3 linked regions of the Drosophila melanogaster genome follow. The gene in region 3 interacts genetically with the main gene of each other region. Each region holds a gene or a part of one and is shown on either strand. Other genes may lie near its edges.

What was found.
Region 1: of uif (region 3) and dx, changing one enhances a phenotype caused by changing the other (phenotypic enhancement), as found in Drosophila melanogaster (one study listed by BioGRID).
Region 2: of uif (region 3) and kuz, changing one enhances a phenotype caused by changing the other (phenotypic enhancement), as found in Drosophila melanogaster (one study listed by BioGRID).

The regions. Positions count from the first base shown.
Region 1 is NC_004354.4:6,530,596-6,539,768, reverse strand, and holds dx (deltex), read right to left. Parts: upstream 5,771-9,173; 5' UTR 5,357-5,770; coding exon 4,868-5,356; intron 4,249-4,867; coding exon 2,965-4,248; intron 2,903-2,964; coding exon 2,760-2,902; intron 2,692-2,759; coding exon 2,391-2,691; 3' UTR 1,194-2,390; downstream 1-1,193. Other genes in the region: RpL7A (ribosomal protein L7A), read left to right, coding at 7,265-7,279, 7,348-7,471, 7,564-7,934, 8,338-8,643; Agxt (Alanine-glyoxylate aminotransferase), read right to left, coding at 9,100-9,173.
Region 2 is NT_033779.5:13,546,913-13,553,831, reverse strand, and holds the start of kuz (kuzbanian), read right to left. Parts: upstream 3,694-6,919; 5' UTR 3,539-3,693; exon of another isoform or gene 3,412-3,538; intron 2,691-3,411; 5' UTR 2,230-2,690; coding exon 2,166-2,229; intron 1-2,165.
Region 3 is NT_033779.5:7,006,264-7,013,224, forward strand, and holds the start of uif (uninflatable), read right to left. Parts: upstream 4,097-6,961; 5' UTR 4,030-4,096; intron 3,647-4,029; exon of another isoform or gene 3,610-3,646; intron 2,387-3,609; exon of another isoform or gene 2,384-2,386; 5' UTR 2,137-2,383; intron 1-2,136. Other genes in the region: CG43321 (uncharacterized protein), read left to right, coding at 6,064-6,261.

The sequences.
Region 1 (9,173 bases), on a different chromosome or scaffold from region 3:
AAACAAAAGGCGAATGTCACAGGGTCAGTGGAGCAGGCTTGTTTATTTTGGCCAAAACCACCTTATTAGCGATCTCATCATCAATACGCACTTGTTGTCACCCCTCTCTTTCCACGCCACACGCTTCGCATATATCGCGCTCTGTCTGCCGCGTTGTCGTGTTGCGTGTGTTGAATGTCAACGATCAGCGATCATTGTCAGTCGCATAAAATCGCATAAAGATTGCATGAAATGCTGTAAATTCTAGGAAAACATTTGCTTATGCAACTGGCACAAGGAAAACAGCCGCATCAGCAGGAGAGGCATCTATTTTTAGGATACCTGACCAGAGTGCTCAAGCTGAAAAGAGTTGTATCTATATCCCAATATCTAATGATCACTTGATGATCCATAGATATGAAGCAGGCCCAAAGCCAGAGAAATCTACAACTTTCAGTTGCTCCTCGATCCTTTCACATCGTAGACTTGGCCAAGTGCTGCTAATGCCAAACTAACGACTTGCAACAAGAACAGCTGCGGCCGAATGATTGGCCGCCCTTGGAGGAGGAGCAGTGAAAGCCGCTCTGGGCCACGCTATATATATATTGTCCACTTTTGGACACTGTCCTTGCGCCTGCCTGACGTCAGCACGTAGGCAGTTGAAGAGGCGACATGGCGACAACGACAACACGTCTTCAACTTGTTGCCGCTGCGCCTTAAATGGCCCGGAGCAACTTCACCAGAGCATCGCCAACATCACCAGCATATCCAACATCACCAACACATCACGCACTCGCTGCACTGCACAATGACAAAAAAAAAAAAATGCATCGGATTTTTTGTCTTTTATTAATTTATTTTAAGTGATTCACGGCGGCGTAGACTGAAAACGAAAACCGAAAACTGAAAACAGCTAAACCTTGGAAGTTCCAAAAATGTCAACTGATTGATTTGAATTGCACCGCATTGGTAAGAAACTGGCAACAATGCAACAATGCCATAGAGCCACCTAATTGGAATTTAAGCTTGTGCTGGTAATTAGTTTACAAGCAGCATGGCACAATTGAGTGAATAATATAACATAAGAGGCATAAAGAAAAAAGTCCCAAAAGAAAGAACTCATTCGAACATACATACATAAGTGAAAAAGTCCAAAAAGAAAGATTTCCTTTTAGACATGAGTGAATAAATATCCCAAAAGAAAGACTTAATTTGAACATGAATGAAAGTTACTTTATTTGAACTATATATAAATGTACTGTATTATATATGCGTAATATGCATACATAAATGGTGTGGAATTTGTTGTGGAATATTCGCAATGAACTTTAATAACTAATCAGTGCTAAATACAACTTAGTAAAATCATATCATATCATATATCAAATATGGTGGCGCGGTCAGTAGCCGCTAGCTGTCCGTACGATCTCTACATACTATATGCTATATATGCTATATATTGGCGATGTATACGATAGTTCGTTCGATGCTCGATGATATCAATATGAAAGCAACAATTCATCAAATGTATGCAAGGGATTCGATAAAAAAAATTATTGTTATGTCGTATGGCTATGGGGCTATGTTAAAATATGTTTATGTATGTATGTATATGTATATGTATATGTATATGCGTAATGGAATATCTGGCTGCGTTACAACTATGCTTCCTAAATGCTCCGTTTAATAATGAATAATTCAAATTAAAATCACATCAAATTCGCTGAATGAAAGAGATTAAATGGCCAAGACAAGTGAGACAAGTCTATCGAATTTACCCATCTCCATTTCCTCTCTCAAAATACTATTTTAATCCTATATAAATCCGATATAAAGAAAATTCACATGGATCTGATGAAAGAGACAAATTCGAAACCGAGAGAGATGGAGAGATGGGCAATGGTTATAGCTAGCTATATCAACAATATACATATCCTATAAACGGGAGCGCTACGATTTTGGCACAGCTTGCACTCGAATGGCGTGGCTTGGCTTGGCTTGAATCGAATCAGGAATCAAGAATCAGGATAATGCCTAATACTAGTAGGTGTCTTGGGTCAAGATTCTCTTGGGAACTACAGCTACAACTAACTAACTAACTAACTAGCTAATACATATGATGTACGCCAACTTATTGCGTATGTGCGTACAAATACGAATTGGAAGAGCGGAAAGGAAGCTACAATTGCAATTGTGGTTTGCTGTTGTTTTAGGGTTCGAGCAGCTCGAACGCTATTACAATATATCTATAAAAAAAATATATCATAGTAAACGAGGATTGCACACACACTGAGATTATGTAGAAAGTAACTTAACGACGAATGGAAGAGAATGATCGAGGGGACTTCGGTGGGTGGGTGGTTGGTTGATTGGTTGGTTGGTAGTTCTACTCGGGGACAGGGAACTAATCCTTAATCCGTCACGCCCAGGTGCACCAGCTGTTGCATGGTTCGTTGCAAATAGGTGGGATCCGGAAACATATTGAACTGCGTCTTGTGATCCACACTGTTCCAGATCACCACATCCTCGCGTCCGGTGGTCACCGATCGTCCGATCGAGAAAAGCAGCCGACGATCGAATGCAATCTTGAGGAAGCGCAGCACTTTTCGCCCCAGCGGGCAGTCCGGCAAGTAGCAGATCCGCGGAAATCCCACGGCGAAGAAGGCACGACCCGGATGCGGATGCTCCTCCGTCTGCAGTCCCGATGCAATGCTGCCATGCAAATGAAAAAGAGTGATTATAGTTGATTGCTCAGTGGCCACAGGCACATTCACACTTACTCGTAAACAATCTGTATGGTGTTCTGACCCTCGTGTCCTGGCAGATTCTTGCTGATTATGCTCCACGACATGCTGCCAATGGGCTGATTGCCAACCTTCTCGCCGTAAACGATGCCGCATACAGGGCACTCGATGAAAAGGTTCTAGGGGAATGAAATTTAAATAAACTTTCTCTTTCTAATTGGCATCGCTTTCGCGTGCTCACCTTGTTCATTTCGTTTTGCTGGGCAATTATCATCCCATTGAGGCACTGCAAATGCATGAGATGCTGGCAGCGACTCAGCGAAATGGCCGGATTCTGGGCGGAGTGCACCAGCTCCTCCATGCACATGGGACAGGGCTGGGCATTGGGCCACAGCGGTGGCTCCACCACCTTGACAAAACGCGATATCATATCGCTGGCCGGGTCCACGCCCACAATCGAACCGGCGATTGATTGCTGCTGCTGCTGCTGCGCCTGTTGCTGCTGTTGCATCTGCAGCTGCTGTTGCTGTTGTTGCTGCTGCTGTTGCTGTCGCGGATGCAGTGGTAATGGCGGCGGCACCGGCGCCCTTTCGCCCAGCGACGATGGCGGCAGCGAGGGCACAAAAACTTCATCGCTGCCAAGCGAGCAGTCCAGCAGATCATTGACCGAAATGGCAAAGTTCCTGCTGCGCAGGCTCTCCTTGCTCTCGTGGCTGAGGTAAGTGGACACAGTGTCCACACTGGGTCTCCGCCGATGCGATTTCACACTGTTCGTGTCCGTGTCCGAGGTCCGCGTACGCGATCTCGAGCGATGCGAGCCCATCCGGCTGCTCCTTTGCGACTGCAGCGATCCCTCCGAGCAGCGACTATGATGACTGTTCATCGAGGCAGTCAGCATGTTCTTGGCGTGCGAAAAGTGCGCATGCGACAGATGGTTGGCATGGTGCAGCGAGGCCGATGAGGAGGATGAACTGGCACTGGCCGCCGTCGACATGTTCGATTGGTGCTTAGTGCTGCTGCTGAAGATGTTTAGGTTGTTGAGTATCTGGCGTAGATTGGTGGTGGAGATCTCGCTGTGCTTCTTGGGCGGCTTCCTGGGCGCCGTCTGATGATGGATTTGATGGTGCTGCATCTGATGTTGCTGCTGTTGCTGATGCTGTTGTTGCTGATGCTGGTGATGATGTTGCTGCTGCTGCTGCTGTTGATGCTGGTGCTGATGCTGCTGCTGCTGCACTTGATGGCTGGTGGGCAATGGGTGCTGTTGCCTGGTCATGGGCACTCTGTGCAGGCTCTTGGTGTCTCCCAGTTTGGGTAGAGTGTTGTACTGGCTGCTCACGCTGGCGGAATTCGACTTGAGTTGGTTGGCCTGTTGTGGCGTTAGTTTCACCAAGGGATACGGCGCCTGTTGGGTACGCCGAATGCTGCGCATGGGTCCGCTGGGTTGGCGCAGCTGGGTGAGATTGCAAAAGTTAATGGTGTACGGCAGGCCGATGTGGGTGTTGCACAGGTCCAAGGTTTGTTCGCCCTGCAAGGGAGTAGGAATAAGTTATGTTACAATCTATAATTGATGATATTGATTGATTGATATGCGGTTGCAGTTGGACTTTGTGCAAGAAGAAGAATAAATTTATATAGCCCCTAAAATTTGATCATAATACCATAACTCAGCCAAAACTCCAGCGATTTAAGTGCGAATGATTTTAATAGTCATTATTTTTAAAGCAGAAAGTTTCTGTATTCAAACTTTTACAAAAGTGAAAATTAAATTTTTTTTCAATTTTTTTGTCCCATTTTGAGGTTGCAAAAATGGAAATTTTTGAAAAAAAAATTAATTTGATTTTAGCTAAAAAATTTAAATGCAGATTTATTTGTCTAAGCATCAGAAATTCAAAAAGGTACACTTCTTCGATCTACTACGTTTTTTGGCTGAGATGTGAACTGTGGAATTTGGCTTATATGTACTATTTAAACACCTATGGACACATCACAGACTGGTGCATCCTTAGCCAATTCTTCAGGATCAGTGGTAAACCCACACTCTTTTAAGATTCCCCATATATTCTCCCGATAAAAAAATTCCTGAGCAACTCAAAATTCCAACTAGACTGCCAATGGGAAAACATTCGATTCTGCACGGCACTCACCCTCGCCCAGGCGTCCTCGATGATGCACTGGACGTGCATGTTGTAGGGCCGCCAGTCGTTGTTGCTATCGGCACTGCCGCCCGACCACTCCCACTTGGTGCCCTTGCCCGCCGGCGAGCTGGGTGCGTAGAACATGCGCCGAACACCGATGGTCAGCAGGCCGGAGCCGGCCGTTTCCGCCTCCGATTCCTGGGTCATTGTGCGCACGTTGACGTAGTACTGCTCCAGGCTGGGATCCGCATCGCTCAGCATGACGCGCGTCAGTTTCTTGGCGTGGGCGCGTTCCAAGTGCTGCGACACCGCCGGCGAATAGGGCAGCCACTTGCCGCGCGACTCGAACTCCCACACGCAGACGGCGTGGGCGTGGTTCACGGGCGGCCCACCGGATCCGGCGGTGGACAGGGCCATGGTGGCACAACTGGAGGCGGCGCTACCTCCGCCACCGGGAACAACGGATCCGGATGCCGCACTTCCGGCGCTGCTGGCCATTGCTTGCAGTTGATCCGTTATCCGTGGAGTGAGCCCATTGCCATATCCATGCCCATTTCCATATCCAACTCCTCCTGCGCTCTCTTCACTAGCTCTCACTCACTCACTCTCTCTCTCTCGCTCTCTCTTGCTGTTGCTGTCGCGCTATCTCGCTCGCTCGCGAAGATGGGCACAAAATAAACAAAGAAATTAAAAATGGTGGACCCGCTGCCAGCGTTAGTTATCCCTGATTTTCCCTGGCTTCCATTTTCCCGAAGTTTTCGTTCTGGTTCTTTAGTCACTCGGTTTCGTTTAGGCGCAGCTTAAGAATTCACGTTTGATGGTAAAAACAGTTTTTCTAGCATTTAGCGCAAGCGCAGGCGAGAAATTTTTATTGTTGGACAGCGATTTAATGAGAGACAACAGCGGAAAATGGCTAAATAAGGCCGGATGAAAATACCGCACTGCATCTGCAGCCACCAGTTGGATTCGGTAGTTTCAGGGTTGGCATAACTGGTTGCTAGCTAGATCTAGCTAAATGTTTAATATTTTTTATTTTCTTTTCTTGCACTTGAATATAAACAGATACTATTTTTAGCTTGTTAATTAATCAATTAATATATGTGTAATTGAATTCTATATTGAAATGAAAAAAATAAGAACTTGCAATGATTTTACTTGATATTAATTTCAATATTTTTTATTTACTTTGGCAAGTTTAAGCTACTTTTCTTAAGCAACGCGACCTCCAACACTGGCTGCTTCCAAAGTTTCTTTCTATTTAGTATTTCTTTTCAAGATTTTCGGTAATACAAATCGGTCACTTTTAAGAAATTCATAATTTGAGCATGTCTTTGCTGTAACGATCACATTTGTGGTGTATGTCCTAGATAGGATGGAATGTTAGATATATTATTTTTATTTAAACGAAAGGTATTCTGACCACGATTTGATTCGTTTTCAAGCGCTGGCCTATTAAAAAAGAAGTTACGCTTAAATAACATTGTTTTTTAACTTATCTGATGTACCTTAAAATTTTTAAAACATAAATGGAGCGAGTCTCTGCTAAGAATAAGCATAGCCTCTCACCTCGGTATATCGCTTCTTTTGGCGTTTCGGTGCAAATGTGGCACGGTCAGATCGAATCTACTCGATTTCCAACATTGGAACTGCCACTTCCTTTCTTTTTCGTTCCACGTTTCCGGTGAGTGCATGTGCCTAGCGAGCAGTCCTGAATTTTGTGCTAAAAACCAATATTTTATTTACTTTCAGCGAGTATTTCGATACGTTCGTGGTCGTGCTTATCACAGGTAAAGCTCACAATTCCAGAAATTCACCCAAAAACTACGCGGCCGGCGAAAATGTGTGCAAAACCAAATTTTTTGTATAATTTTTTTTCTGTGGGCTTCCAAAGCCGGATTTAAATGTGCCACTTAAAAGAACAAAGTGTAAACAACACGTGAAGTACGCAGTATACTCCGAAAACCTTTTTTTTTTTTGTAGTGAAATTGCCAAATTCCAACCCATTTGAACAAAAATGTGCGTTGCGGCATGTTTTTGTGCATGTGTTGGTGCAGGTGTATGGAGTGTGTGTGTAGAAGTGTTGTTAAAGAAACCTTAAAACTTCAAAGTTATCAAAATGAAAGTAATATTTCTTCAATTTAATGAAAACGGAGTAGATTTCTTCGGAAAATCTGCGAAAAAACGTGTGTTGTTTATACCCAATTATCACACACACACACACACACACACGCAAGCAACATGGTTTTTTTTTTCTTTCCGTACTTACATTTTTCATGCACGTGTTTTGCTGGTCGCCGAAGTTTTGCGTGTTTTCCCATTAACTTTACCAAGTTTAAAACGTATTAATGTGCTAATTCTTTTTTAGCAACTGCTTATTTCGGTAGCAAACTTTAAAACCGCTTGAAAATGGTTGTCAAGAAGGTGAGTTATCGGCGTAAATTTGCTGTTAACTCGAATTAACCTAATGCGTGTTTTCATTGCGTTTACAGCCCAGGCCAAAGAAGAAGCCAGTGACCAAGAAGGTGGCTCCCGCTCCTCTGGCTGTCAAGAAGCCCGTGGTCAAGAAGGTTGTTAACCAGCTGTTCGAGAAGCGTCCCAAGAACTTCGGAATCGGTAAGTGCACAAAACATATTCTATATATATGAATATTGCAGCGGAATTTCTTACATATTAGCTAAATGTATACATATTCTCTCACTTTGCAGGCCAGAATGTGCAGCCCAAGCGCGATCTGTCCCGTTTCGTTCGCTGGCCCAAATACATCCGGGTGCAGCGTCAAAAGGCTGTGCTCCAGAAGCGCCTGAAGGTCCCACCACCAATCCACCAGTTCAGCCAGACTCTGGACAAGACCACCGCCGTGAAGCTGTTCAAGCTGCTGGAGAAGTACCGCCCCGAGTCGCCGCTGGCCAAGAAGCTGCGCCTGAAGAAGATCGCCGAGGCTAAGGCCAAGGGCAAGGATGTGGAGCCCAAGAAGAAGCCCAGCTATGTGTCCGCCGGTACCAACACGGTGACCAAGCTGATCGAGCAGAAGAAGGCCCAACTGGTGGTCATTGCCCACGATGTTGATCCTCTGGAGGTTAGTTTGACTCAATTGTCGCAGCTCAAAGCTTGCACATCATCCAAATATTTGCAAATTTGCAAATATACATGGTTCTCAATCACGTTGCGATGATGAAAAAATTTCTTCAACTCAAGGCTTCTCGCTTCCGGCGGCTAGCAGGTTATCCTGCTCCGGCGGAGTGGGTTGCTGCCATGTAGAAATTTGACTCCTGACGCCTTAATTCTTTGTTAAGGATTGCTAAATCCTTGGTTTATCTTTGAATTAGTTGAAGAGCTAACAACTAGATCTAATAACTAAGCCAAAGATAAAGTTAACATTTGAAGAATTGAGGGCAACTTGATTGCATACAATGCGCAAGCCCACGAACCACGTGGTTTTCCAAGACGACAATTGATTAACGCGTTAATTTCCATTCCAGCTGGTGCTCTTCCTGCCCGCCCTGTGCCGCAAGATGGGCGTGCCCTACTGCATTGTGAAGGGTAAGGCTCGTCTGGGTCGCCTGGTGCGTCGCAAGACCTGCACCACCCTCGCCCTGACCACCGTCGATAACAACGACAAGGCCAACTTCGGCAAGGTCCTGGAGGCTGTGAAGACCAACTTCAACGAGCGCCACGAGGAGATCCGTCGCCACTGGGGCGGTGGTATCCTTGGCTCCAAGAGTCTGGCCCGCATCTCTAAGCTGGAGCGCGCCAAGGCACGCGAGCTTGCCCAGAAGCAGGGTTGATTCAATCTGAAGCCGGTCCGGTCCGATGGTGGAGACTTTTAAGTACACATGGATGAAATTAGTTGGGCCATGCTCACTGAATTTGATAACTAATAAACTTTTAAGTGTACAATTTTTTTTGTTTTTTTTTTTTTTAATCTAAGTGCCTGTGAGAGTGCTTTTGGATGAGTCGATGATTTGGCGTCGGCTTGGATTCAATAAATCTAAGATGTATCCATGCCCATCACTCACTTTGTTTTCCGCCAATCGGGAAGTTGTGCCTGTGAGAAAGAGAAGTCTTCTTGAATTGAATTTGGCCAACTTCCGCTTCTTTGTACCATTTCTCTCTAGATGACAACAAATTTCACATGCCATATGTTTCAAACATTTAGCGAACAAAAGACAAAAGGAAGTACATTTAGTTTTCCATATTTGTTTTTATTTTATAACTAGTGATAGGAGCAGGGCAACGATTTGTTAGATTTTCGATAGATCCGTCTTGATCCCCAGCTTGCTGCTCTGAATGGCCTCGTTCAGGATGCTGAGCACCA
Region 2 (6,919 bases), 6.5 Mb from region 3:
CTGGCAGATACGACGGCAAATACAGAACAAACGCGTCTATCATCTGGGTCGGATTCACCAAATAAACCCACGAGTTTTGTGGGTCATTTTCTTTGTACGAGTATATTATGAAACAGCACGAAGTTCTTCATCCACGGTCACGTTGTCATCTCTAGATTTCGATGGTGGCTTCATTATTTGTTTGTTTACTATGTTGCACTCGGCACGTACGGGAAATAAAGCAAAGGAAAATTGCATAAATGCCCGGGCAAAGTGTCCATTGTTCTCTGGGCCCTATCATCCTAAACTCTCCTCCCATCCTAAACTCTCCCACATCTCCTATATGTGATTTATGAAAGCTTTTTGCCCGACTGAAATTATATTTGAAACAACTTTTAGTCAACAGCTTATCAATAACAATAATAAAATCCGGAAAAACCCAGATGTGACTCTAGAAACTCATTTCACTCGTCAGCGAATCTTCAAGTTTTTTTTGTCTCTTTCAAGATCAAAAAAAAAAAAAAAACGAAACCAAAAAACTGCAGATAAGTTACGTAAAAAGTAGCCGCAATCTCAAGCTGAAACTAAGATACGGATACAGTATCTTTATCTTAATTCCCAGCTGTATCTTGTTACTGTATCTCAGAACTGTTGCTTTTCACAGCATTTTTGGTTTATATATTTCTTTCGCTTCCGCTGCTTATTTGTGGGAGAAAAACTCTTCTCCGATAGCTGTTGCATATATATATATATATATTTTTTTATAATTTTTTCATTTTTAATCATTATAATATGGTTTGTGCAGCCCAGACAGATAATGCCGAGACATTGACCTTTTTCGCAGATTTTTTGTTTGTCTCTGGCCTTTTCTATTCGCCTCGCTTCTGGGTTCTCGGTTCTTATGTCTGCTCTCTTTCTTTGTTGTCAGATTAGCCGGCCAAGTGGATAAACCAGTTTTTGCCTCCGCCACTCTTCTTGGCTTGATTCTTGGCCCTCAATCCTCACTCTTTTACCCATGTTCATGTTGCTTGACTTTGGCTAATTAGCCAAGAGTGGAAGTTGTTGTCATGATCCCTCGCCCCGCCTCGAATTTCGTAACGTTGAACTTAGGAAAATCTTGCCATGCAAACAAATTAGTTGAAGTGGCGAAAAAACGGTCTTCAATGCAGTAACGACATTTTTTTTATCACAAAACACAATATATTCATAAATTAAGTAGCACAACTCTGATATATATATTTATATATGTAGATGTATAAGCTAAATGTTTCATTCCTACTGTGTGTTTCATACCGAAGTATATAGTTTTAAAATTTTGTAAGTCCCCTTTTGTTAAACCCAAGCTAACGATTTCACAATAAAAATGGATGAGTCCCCTGAGCTTTACTCAGGTTTTCATGACTCACGTTATACCTTATGCTTTTCGCCTTCTTCGCTCTTTTTGCCCCAACAATGGACTTGCTTTGTGGAAATAAATAGGTAGAATCTGAATTTGTATATTTACATGAACATACATACATATATGAGTAGCTAACTTAAGTGTAAAAAAAGTACATTCACGGCTATATAGATTGTTATTAGAGTCGGTTGAGTTTGAAACCTTGGCACCTGCAAGTGAGAATATTGCTGAAAGCAAACACTCTGGGTCACAAGAAAATCATTCTGTCAATTCGCTTGGAGTGACAATAGCGAAATTAAATTAATTATGCAAAGCAACCCCATTTGTTTAATAACAAAATACACCCACAGCATAGTTAGGGAGGCGAGAAAACCCAAAGACAATTACCCAAAGTGTCTACTAAAATTATAAGAAACCCTCTGTGTTCCACCCTCAAAACGATACCCTTCCCCTTCCCCCTAATATCCTTCACTCGTCAATTATCCTGGCAAAGTACGTAATTATTTTTGTTGCTCGAAGGGTTCTGGGTGAAAATGTTAACTTTGTTTCCGCCTGATTGAGCACTTATTCCAATGTTATTGTCTATGCGTCATTTGCAGCACCCTCGGCTGTATTTCATTTTAAGCCCCGATTGTTGTGGTTTCTTCGGTTGCCAGTGAGTCAAGTGCAGAAAAAAAACACCAATGCTTTATGTATTTTTAAATTAAAATATTTAAAAAATTATATGAAATAGGAACGGAAACCATTTAGATTACATTGTTAATCAATGTTAGTTTTTCGAACTTACCATTTACGATGATGATGAAAATGATCGATACGAATACAATGTTGAAAGCACATTTTGATGACATTATTTGCGATGGGGATCCAACGTGGATGGCTGTCGACTAAACAGAACTAGCACCAAATTTCTGCTTGCTTTTGTTTTATTTTTTATTTTTTTTATTTCCGCGAAGGTCGTTGATTGGTCTTAATAATTTCCTTGTGGCAGTAGTTGGTTGCGTTATTGGGCGGCACCTCGCACTCCAATCTTCGCGGGTTTTTTAATCAGAGCTTTGCACTTTCCATGCCATTTACAAATTTAGCACTTTTTGCATGGGCCATAAAACTTCGCAGCACTTTTTCGCACGCACGAATTATTTTTGCTATTTGTTGCAACTTCTTTTCGAGCTCTTGTCACGTACACTTTTCTTATATTTTTATTTTTGTTTTATTCCAATATTTTCTCGTTAATAAATTAAAAGCGAAAATAAAAAAGAAAAATCTTCTTTTTTGATTGATTTTGTGTGTTTATTCACTGGATTGTTTATTTCTGAAGGCAGAAGAGCGAGACATTTTGATTGATTTAATATTATTAAAAATATACTATTTAAATATAAAAATAGGCAATTTTATTTGTTTTATTGTTTTTTTTATAATTATGTTTTTTACTATTTACGCTATATTCATAAGTTCGGTATGCGTTTTTTCTTGTTTAATAAGTTTATGAATAGTTGGAAAACCAAAACATTAGCAATACAAACAAACATAAAATCACAACAAAAACAGCTATTGGCCTTTGCACTCACACAGAGGCAATGAGCAAGCGCGGAGAGGAGAGCAAGAGAGGGAGATGCAACAGAGACGACAAAGAGCGACGGAAGACGGAAAAGGAGAGAGCGACAGCTGCGGCGCAAACGCAACAAAATGCATTAAATTAATTATTGTTGCTTTTAAAACGCTTGTTGTTGCTGGCACAAAAGAACAACAAATCGATTTGTTTACAATGCTGTTTCAAAATAATTAAACAGAAAAATGTTTTCGTGAATAGTATTATGTGTAGTTTAACTTCGCAATAGGGCTAATTTAACAATGTTTTTGCATGTTTACTTATTTTCGTGTGCCTCGTCTTGTACTTCTTTCATGCTCTCTCTTTTATGTTGCTTCTCGGATTGCCTCTCTACATTTCTCTCTCTCACTCTCGTTTGCTATGTGTTGCCAGTAAATTAAATGCGTTGAAATGCAGCCATTTTGTCTCCGCAATTGGCACTCACTTGAACTCCGGTCGAATTTTTTGTTTAGCCACAATTCTCAATTGGCCAGAATTGGGGGCATTTTCTTTGATTAGCGCACATTTCTTAAGCCTGACTTGACGATATATATTTATTTTTATTCGCTCACCCGCTCGCACATTAGCACACACACACACACGAACGCACGCACACATGCAAACGCACGAACACGCGTCCAGCGATTTTCCGACTCCCACGGCGTTCCGAGATCCGTTACAAAGAGTTACGCGTCCAACTCGCTTGGTGGTTTTTTTTAAACTACCCGATTTCTCACCACATATACAAATGTACTTCAGTCTTAGAGTGACCAGTATCATAAAAAGAGATAATCTTTCTAATGCGTTAGTTTTCGTGTGCGTTAATACTGATATTGACGAGAGATGATACAATGACTCATCGTATTCACTATAGTATATTAATAATAGTTAGATTCATTAAATAAAACTTATTTAGGCAACAGCACTTACTTTTCAGCTAATTAAACATATTTAAACATTATTGATACTTACGCATAAGGTATACAGCAAATACAAATGTTATTTATGTTATTTAAATTAAGCTATTGCAAAATAATATTTTAAACTCTAAAGAGAATTTGTTTAATTGAATTAAAATTAAAATCATTTTGTTTTGTGAGCTTGTGTACTTCTTCGTTCATTTACATAAATTTTTTTTTGAACACTTAAATTCAAAAAAGGCGCCAAAATTACTTTATTTTGCAGCCCTCGTCCACTTCAACGAAAATATTTTTACGCCTGGTGGCAACCTTTATCATATGGAACCAGTGTTGCCACATTTGATATTTTAGATTTATAATGAAAACTATTAGAAATTTGATATATTTAACAAATAAGCTGTTTACATCAGAAGCTTGTTTTGTTGCTATGCTAATAAGCTGGATAGGGCCATTTGCTATGGTTATCTACTGATTTAAATTTGCCTATCGCTTACTGTGATAATTTGAGTATACGTTAAAATACAACCATTTTGAATCGCGCGCTCATTATTAACATGCTCGGATTTTTTAGTGATAAACTCGTTAAGACGCTCTGAGTTGTGTCACCTGGCAACACTTCGTCAGATGCTCATCGAGTGTTGCTGCGGGTGGACGTGCTCGCTTTCTCTGTCCGTTACCGTTACCTCGTGTCTGCGTTCACGTATCCGTGTGTCTGTCCGCGTTCCCCGTCCGTGTGTGGGTGTAGGTGCGAATGTGTGTGTGCCTTTGGTCGCGTGTCGTCGCCGCTTTCATGTAAACGAAGATTGTGCAAAAGGTAAACGCCAAACGGTGGCAACAACAGTAAATGATAAACAGAAGCGAAACAACTAGCAAGCGCAGCAACAACCACAACAACACAAACAGCAAAGAAGCAAGCAAACAAAACTTGTGAAATACTTTTTGTTTATTTTTTTTTTATTTTGGCCTGGTCTGGTGGCAAGTGGCAAAAGCTATAAAAAACGATTCTCGAAAACAGGTTTCCTGCGTGAGCGAGAGAGAGAGAGAGAGAGACCGAAGCGTTTACTGCAAACTAGAAGCTCAACTGCTGCCGCACAGTGGTCACTACAGTTCTAAGCTTGCCCCACTGTGCGCCCAGAACTTGTTTTCTTCTTCTTTTCATTCGATTCCCCTCCCCACTCCTTCGTTCCAACTGCAGCTAACTACTCCTTTCATCGGGCGTTTTAGAATGCATATTTGGTTTATGGGAAGCTCACATGCAGCGCCCCCCGAAATCAATACGGAAAACGGTTTTTCCCGAAAGAGCCGTTACTTTTCGGGAAAATCCCCATTCCACGGCACCTCGGCTCTGCCACAAAAATCAGCTGGCTCGGCAGTCGGCGCAGCTCTGCCGGCGTCGGCAGTGGAGGGACTGCGTCGGGCGCCTAGCAACAGAGGTTAAACCTCTGACTACAGGGACGGTTCACGCTTGGGCGGTCAAAATCTCGGGGAGCAACACGTTACATAAGGTGGCTGAAAGTTTGTCAACCTCAAGTTTGGTTACTTGTGTGTCTAGGCATTATGTGATTGTTAAAATCACGTGGCTTATACAATTGTGGTTGAATATCTTATAGTTTGCATTGTTTTTAAATTTTTTGAAAGTTCTTATAGCAGAATATTCTCTTAACCAGAAGATGAATAAAACAAAATAGTAAAAGTCCAAAAACGCTAAAGAGCTTGATTTTTTATGATACCTTACTTGAAACTTCCGAGATTAGCTTTTTGCCCCTCCCCGATGTTGAAGGACTTCGGTCCTGGTCCCTACCGCCGTCAGCTGTGCGCTCAGTGCGCAGGCGCCACACACACACACACACAGATGTGCCAGCCACAGGCAGCAGGAAGCAGGCAGAAGAAGAAGAAGAAACAGCAGGAGCAGCAGAGGAGGAAAAAGCGGACCAGCCTGCTGGTTAACTGCCTGACTTTGGCCCGCAAAATTGCATTGCTGGCGTCTCGCTCGCACGCACTTACTTCGGCAGTAATGCCGGAAAATGGGAAAATGTGAATGTGAATCGATGGTGGAGGAGGGCGGGCGGTGAACAGCGCGATGTGGGCCGAAGTTCGCAGTCGGCAGTCGGCAGTCGGCTTTACATAAGTTGACGTCCGTGGCAGGCGGTCTGCTCCTGGAATTTCAGTGCCCGGCTGCAGGTCCTTTGCTCAGGTTGTGTAGACGCGCTTTTCAGTTTTTCCGGTGGATCAGCTGCTGGCGCTTTGCAACTGGTTCGGATTTTCCTTAATTTTCTCTGCGCTACCCCTACTTACTTTTGATTTGTAAAGTTTTCTTTACTATTTTTGTATTATTTTTGGTTTTATTTTTTAATTGGTTCTGCCCCTGCAAACCGGCTGCAAATGGCCAAAAGGTTCGTCGACAGTTTTGTGTTTTTTCAGCTGTTCGGCTGGTGGAAGGCAAAAAAAAAAAAATAAAAAGTGGTTAGACCTCTTTTTTTTATTACACTTTAATTTGGATTTTTTGCCATTATTTATCTCATTTCTCAACTATTGCTATTTGCCGCCTGCGTGGGCCACTTTCAAAAGCTTTTTTTCGGGGCTTCCGTCGATTAGTTTTGGCTTTATTTATTTATTTATTCCGTATTCGACGAATCATAAAGCCAAAAAAACTTGATTTGTGCGCACGGCCAGCAGTAAATCAATTTAACAATATTAAATCGCTCGTAAAACCGTTTGAAAAAAAAAAACGTCTAAACGAATTTATTCCTACATATATATCCATATATACATATAACCATGCAGACGAAGTGTTAATCGACAAACAACAACAGCAACAACGCCGGAGAAAACAACATGTGAGAGGCGGCTCAAAAAGTTAATTTAGCCAGTCGAAAAGATGGCCGCCAGGATGTGCAGCATCGCTTCCATCGTCATCATCTAGATTTTAGATGCAGCAACAGCAGCAGCAGCAGCACTCACAGATACACACGCATACCAATGCCGCTGGCAGCCAGACACTCGCACACCAATACCAATGCCAGTCCCTCTTAA
Region 3 (6,961 bases):
ATTAAGCTGCTTTTTGCCGCGAAGAAATAGAGAGCGCTGCAATGACCATTAATTCGCTTTTAGAATGAGTTTGGCATTTGAAGGCACTTTCACTGCCGCCGAGACGGAAGTTGAGAATCCCAATATAAACAAAAATTGAAAATCAAGATCCACAGTTTCGAAAACTTTCGTTGCCGGGAAAGAGTTGATGATTTGAAAATTATTAACCCAATCAAATGGCTATAATTATTTAATGATTTGATGGACGCCAGACATGCAGCAAATAGCCATCTCTATCTCTCTCTTTATAATAATTTACTAGCATGTCGGAAAAGATCTTGGTCCAGATCAGACCGCTGATGGATGGATCTCTCTTAAGACTAACGCCGACAACGCCCTGGCATTCCATTCTTTTAATGGCCAACTGACACTTGATATGCGGCAAGAGATTTGTCATTCATGTGAACCATGCGTAGGACCCATCAGTCCTAATAAACTAGACCCATAATACATTTCATTCCACTAATTTCAACTGACTTCTCGCACTTTCAGTAGGGATTTGAAGATGGGTCTTTACCTGGTATTGCTGTGAATTAAATTCTGGACGTACCCTTTGTTATTGCTCGTTTTTTAGGGTGTGTTTGTGTGTATCTACCTGCCGATACATTGGCATCAGCTGCCAATTATCAAACTTCGAGAAAAGGTCGAAGAATCTAATGCTGAACTCGTCATAGCCCAAATAATAGATGACTTTGTGGCGTTTCTTTCGGGGATTGTTTCCTGCGAAATGGTGGATTAGATCATACAAGTGAAACCGAAACCTTTGTTAGGTAAAAAATTAATTTGAATTAAATTTTCACGAGCAAGACTTTAAAAAAATCGGAGTCACAAAATAACTTTCCAACTCCATTCACGATTTTGTAGCAAAAGTTTTCCAGCGAAGCCCACACAAATCAAAAGACTTAGGCAACAAACTTGCATTCACTTCTCTTGCTTGCAATCCCTATTAAACTCTTAACACACATTTTAGCCACAACTTCCGCTTGTATGCTGTGAGCCAAATACCAATATACAAATTATGACTAAGCCATAGCGACTAAGGCATAAAGCACGCGCTAAAACAAGTTTTACTTGTTCCGATACCTTTTGCCAAGTTATGAAAATGACTTAAGTAGAACTCATCTCCGGAGAGAATCCCTAATCATGGCATGGCAATTTCCATAAAGCAACCAGTTTATTTATATTTGCCAAATAGCTTTGCCAAAAAAAATGAGCTACGATATAAAAAGCAAACACCGAATTTTTGTGGCTTGTTTACAAGTGTGATGAGGGCTTTTTGCATTTGTTCTGCTTTTCACTTTGGTCTGAGTGAAATTTTCTACTACTTCTATGGTTTGTTTCGGTTTCTGTTATTAAGCAACAACAACAACAGCGCGCCGAGTGCGTCTTGAAATTGAGGTTAACTGTTTGGGTAGCTCTCGCTTTTCGACTTTTCGATGGAGTTTTGGGGGTACGGGTATGGGTATGGGTATGGGTACGGGTATAGGGAAGCCGACTTGGCCTTTATTGAATGAATGTGACAACAAAGGCGAGTCAGACACGGCCGGCAGACAATCGAAGCATTTTTTAGGTTTTGTTTAATAGAAAGTAACAGAAATTGTTCTTATTGTTGTTCGGGTGTGCTACTTTTTGTGGATAAGTGGGAATCCATATGGGAGGCTTTATATGGAATACAGCATAACCACTCTCGATACGCCAATTGTTTGCTCAATCAATGGGAATCAATCAATTATTTAAACACAATTAAAACGAAGTTTCATTGCAAATCGTTGGATAAAACGAAAGCATGGCATTGTTTATGGCTTAATTTGTATGTAGACATATGCATAATTAATCGGATTTTTGCGCAATGACTGAAGCCAAAATAAGGCGTGTCTTGAGATTGGCTTTTAATTCATTTGGCTTACTGATTGATAGTTATGAGGTATTATAGAGTGATGGTATGCAATGATGTCAGCTTAAAAGCAGAAGAATATAACGTCATTGGTAGACTAATACTTATACTTAGTATTCAATCCAACCCGCATTTCCACTCTACACTTTTTACTTTGCCACTCTTTTCCGACTCATTCGCTGCCATTTCAATATGCAACTCACCTCTTATAAATGCAGCTTTAGCTGTATATAACCACTATATATGTTCGATACGTATCGTTCGCGACTGCTAGTATTCCAATTTATGTGGCATGTCAGCTGGTTATCCTTGAGGTCAACAAAAGCGACAATAACGACGGTTTCTTTCCCTTTCGCGACGACGGCGGTGTCAGTGTTTTTTATGGCAACTTATTGGTGCGGTTTTCTTTTTATTTATTTAAACTTTTAAATGTACAAGGCCAGTGTTGCACTGCTGGTAGATATTTAAGTTGATTAAAAGTTTTAAAATAAAAGCTGAGCTAAACGAAAACGCGTCACATAAATGTAATTTATGATCGGATAGCCTGACTATCTATAGTTTGTCTAATGGGGATGGGTCTGTTTAATTATGCATGCCGTGGCAGAGATCCGAAACAAGTAAGTCCAAGAATTCTCGTCTGAAGTCGCAGCACGTCTTCGAAATGTGTTGGGAACATTTTGGGATTGAGTTCACAAAAATGTTCGAAGAAATATTTATGTTAATTAGGTGAAAATCTGGTGAGGATAGTCCAAGAAGTATTCCTATTGAGATTTTGGGTCTCTACGATTGGACAACCAAACAAATGACTTAAGACACGAACTTTTTGTAAGTCAAAAATGTTGTTGGTTTCACTTTAACCCCAAAACTGCATTCTATATATTTTTTTCTGTTTAGTTTTTGTGGTTGTTTCTTTTGGCCATTGTGCAAAACACTTGTTGGCCAGTTTCTGGTAGCAGTTGTGGCTTCTTTTTCCGTAAGTTTGTTATTTCTACCCGGTTAATGGGAGCGTAAATGCGCAGCTGGCATGTGAAGTGAGTACCCGAGTGTGTTACTCCCGATGGATGGACTACTTACTCACACAAGTAGTCTAATGTCAGTTGGCAAAGTAAAGTGCAAAAGGCACAGACAAGTTAATGGACTGGTAAAAACCGAACGGCTGGCAAAGAAAACAGGGAGAACAAATTATACTAGAAGTTCAACAACTCGGCTAAAAACAACATAAAATTATTATAGCGGACTACTGCTGACTTCCTATCCTTCATTTGATAAAATAGCTAAAGAAATTCTCGCATTAATTTGTCGTATCTCTACCACTCTTGCATTTAATGTTAGTTATATATTCACTGATTTCGTAGTATTGTCCTCTGTGTTGCAGTTAATCTATTACACTTTTTTTTTTTTCAATTTAAAATTCCTCTTGTTTTTTGCTGCTTCGCATTTAATGGTCAGTTTCCTCATAGAGCACACACGATCCAAGCACGCGCCTCCATTAAAATGCACAGAAATCCTTTTTCGCTAGCCAGCGTACAACGAACACAGGCACAAAATCAAACACTTTGCTGGGCAAAACAATCGAATAAAATCCAGTTTCGAGGCAAATACATTCACAAAATGCACAAGCACTTATTGTTATAGGACACAAAGAGATCTGCAGATCCGGGGAGCGCTTACTGTACCATGTACTGTACCACACGAAGGCCAAACTCAGACTGAAACTTGTTCAGCAAATCAACGCGGTCTGCACCTGAAGTTTCAGTCCACGCACACACACATACACACACTCGTCTACACTCGCCCAAAGACCACAAGACACGACAGCAAAAATGGTAAGAAACTGGCGAAGAGCGGGCCAGAAAGCAGAAAAAAAGGTAGAGAAGAGAGGTAGAGGCGATCGGCAATAGGTAGAAACGTAAGACTGCGAGGCGAGGAAAATAAAACAGCTTAACGTGCCCGTTTTACAGATTTTCCTATGGCTCACTGTATATGTATATCTAGCCTCATCTCGCCAGACTTCTTAACGGCTTTCGTTCGCTCACACTTACTCACTCACTCACTCACTGCCGTACTGAAGAAAACCCAGTCGAATCGATACATACACTTGTCTAGAGTTCGGGTTCGCCGCAGCCTCTTAACGTCCACAACGCGCCACAGTCGAAGGCATACTGAAGCCCCGAAAAGCTTCGTATTTCTTAGGTTTTTTTCACATTTCTATGGTTATCGGTCGGCGAAAAAACAACCGGCATACCGATCGTTATTCGCCGCCGTCGAATTCGGCCGAAATGATGGCTCGGTAATCTCAGCCGGCACTGCGAATTCGCCGCACAAACGCTACCTAACCGATGTTGGCCAAATGCGTGGGCTACACCGCCTAGACGGGATTAGCTGCGGCGTCCTTGTTTCTTGGGAAATTTCGTTTAATTGCCGAGGACATGTGAAGTCGGAGGTGGGTTTTTACCCTCCCTTGATTTTGGGTTGCTTGCTGTTTTCAAACATTCGCACGCAACGGAAGCGGTGGCCGAACGAAAGACTCAAGCAACGAACTTGCTAAAAGGGTTGGCTAACAAAGTAGAGAGCACCATAAAAGTGGGATTGTTACACTTGGCCCTTGGAATCCTTTGGCACTTCTTGCTGCCTCTGTTTGGTTACACACTGCTCTCTCTTGTCCCATTATTTTTTTTATGAAGTCATAAACTGTGCAAAACGTGCGAAATGCTAAACGGAAATGGAATCTACAAATGATCAACAAAAACTACTCATTTAATAGTTAGGGTTATTGCAGGTACTTTTTCAAATCAAGATTATCTTCTCTTTTAAATAACTTCTAAAATTTCTCCCGCAAGTTATCCTTTTTTGTGTGTATAGTTTTCAAAGTGCTTCAAGGATATTCATTGTTTTTAGTATCGATGGCCATTAGAAGATCTTATGCCTTTTTATATTTTGTTCGTATATGTAACCTTACGTCACATCCGTCGCTAAAAGGAATTTCGCACTCGTTTCTTAGGAATTCTATAGAATTGCGCACAACAATTACTATTTATGGTGGGATTTCCCAACCCGAAGGATTTCTATTAAGGAACACTTTATCTCTGTGTGGATGAAGAGTCCAAAAAGGCAAATTGAAGGGGCTTAAGAAAAATTTTGATAACAGTGAGAAACCATCAATGAAAAGTCAGCTGGGATTCTTAGACAAAAAATCAATTCTATATTTGTGGTATGTAAATGATTATTCAATGTTAACTCAATCTTAACTAAATACCATTGTTTGCACTTGGACCTGGTTAAAACCAATTAACTTAGCCGATGAGAATAGCCGAATTTAGAGTTAATTAATTTTAGTTTATCATTCCTTTAACAAGAATGATTTATTAAGCTTTTCACTTCCTTTCTTTTCAAATTAAAAATAAATGCTTGTAAACAGATAAAACGAAAATGATGATAAATAATGCACTGCTTCCAGTAGAAATATAAAGCAGATAAATCGATCCAATTTACACATCCACTGGAATAAAACAATTTAATTATAGGGTACACGCGATCATTAGACTCCCATCTATCCATTTTCGAATAAGTTTTTACTTCCTTCTCAAAAACAGGTCATGATTATTATTTCGGTGCAATTAAAATGTGTCTTGACTTCTTAGGAAGTAGAAAAGGAAATTTAGTTTTCCTAATGCTAAAGCATTAGTTAAGGGAATATGAATAAAGGGAACTATCTAATTACATTTAAAACTTGTTTAGTTTTACAATTCCTTTTGAAAACACAAATTCTTTCCAAATGACACCTTTTATTCTACGCTCCGTTAATCAACAAACAAACACAACACTGCTGCAGGTCGAATATTAAAATAAAAGGCAATACCCTTCCTTAGACGGAAATGTAGACAATTGCAAGCCAATTGAAGAGGGACGATCAGACGGTTGACAAAATCAGTCGTTTGAGCCAGCAGAACGGAAGTTCCATATAGGGCGCACACTCAAATATTCCGATGAGGGTTTTGGATCCGCGTTTAGGTTCTGGGGCGTGCCTGTCCCAATTTGGCCGGAGAAAGTCTTGAAATTTCTATCAGAATAATGTCGTATTCCATTTCCGAACACACACTAAAATCAGTTACCGAAATAAAAACACAAAAATGCCATTTCGTGGAGACAACTTCAAGGACTTTAAAGAAATAAATAAAATTCGAAAGGAGAACAATAAATACAAGTACATCGCTGTTTTCATCACAGTTATACCCGGCATTATATTGGGCGGATTTATGGGCAAGAAATTGGCCCAATTCCTCGAAGTATTTGATCTTTATGCGCCCGATGTCTCGGAAGATGATTAATATAACAACCATGGCGCATATGGAACTTCTACATGGTGAACCAAATGAATTTGGAGCAAACTTGTGCATATCCTGTTTGGATATATGCTAATGTGCCAATCCAAACAGGCCAAACGGGATGCTAGGAAAGAAAACTCAACGCAAACAACTGCCCAGACCGGTAACCAAATTCAAAGCAGGGTAATAAGTGCACAGATCAATTGAATCATAATTAGTGCAAAGAGCTCAAAATCAAACAAGTTTTTAACAATAAATGTGCCTTTTCATTCATGTATTTAGAATGGTTTCTTTCTAGGGAAGGTGTCCATTTCATATTAAGCATCTTACCCAACGTCAGCTTTATATTTTATAATTCAAGATTTTTTAGTGTAGGTCGCGCAATTAAATAATTTTTAATTATGACACAATTACCTAGAACAAACGCGAGTTTCCAGTCTATGTAGAGCATGAATTGTAGTTTGAATTGCAGATGAGCGTTGCTCGCCCGCAGATTTGGTCATCGCCAGGCTTTAATTGCAACTAGTAAGTGTGGAAATTTGCTTCTTTAGATTTGGGTTAGACTTTCATTTAGAACAAGCACGCATACATTTAACAAATTTCGTATACTAACATGCTAAATATGTGCACACATTTATCAGTACTCGTACACCTAGCTTATATTTTTATTTTGCCATTCTTACTTTTAAATATTTCTTGGTTC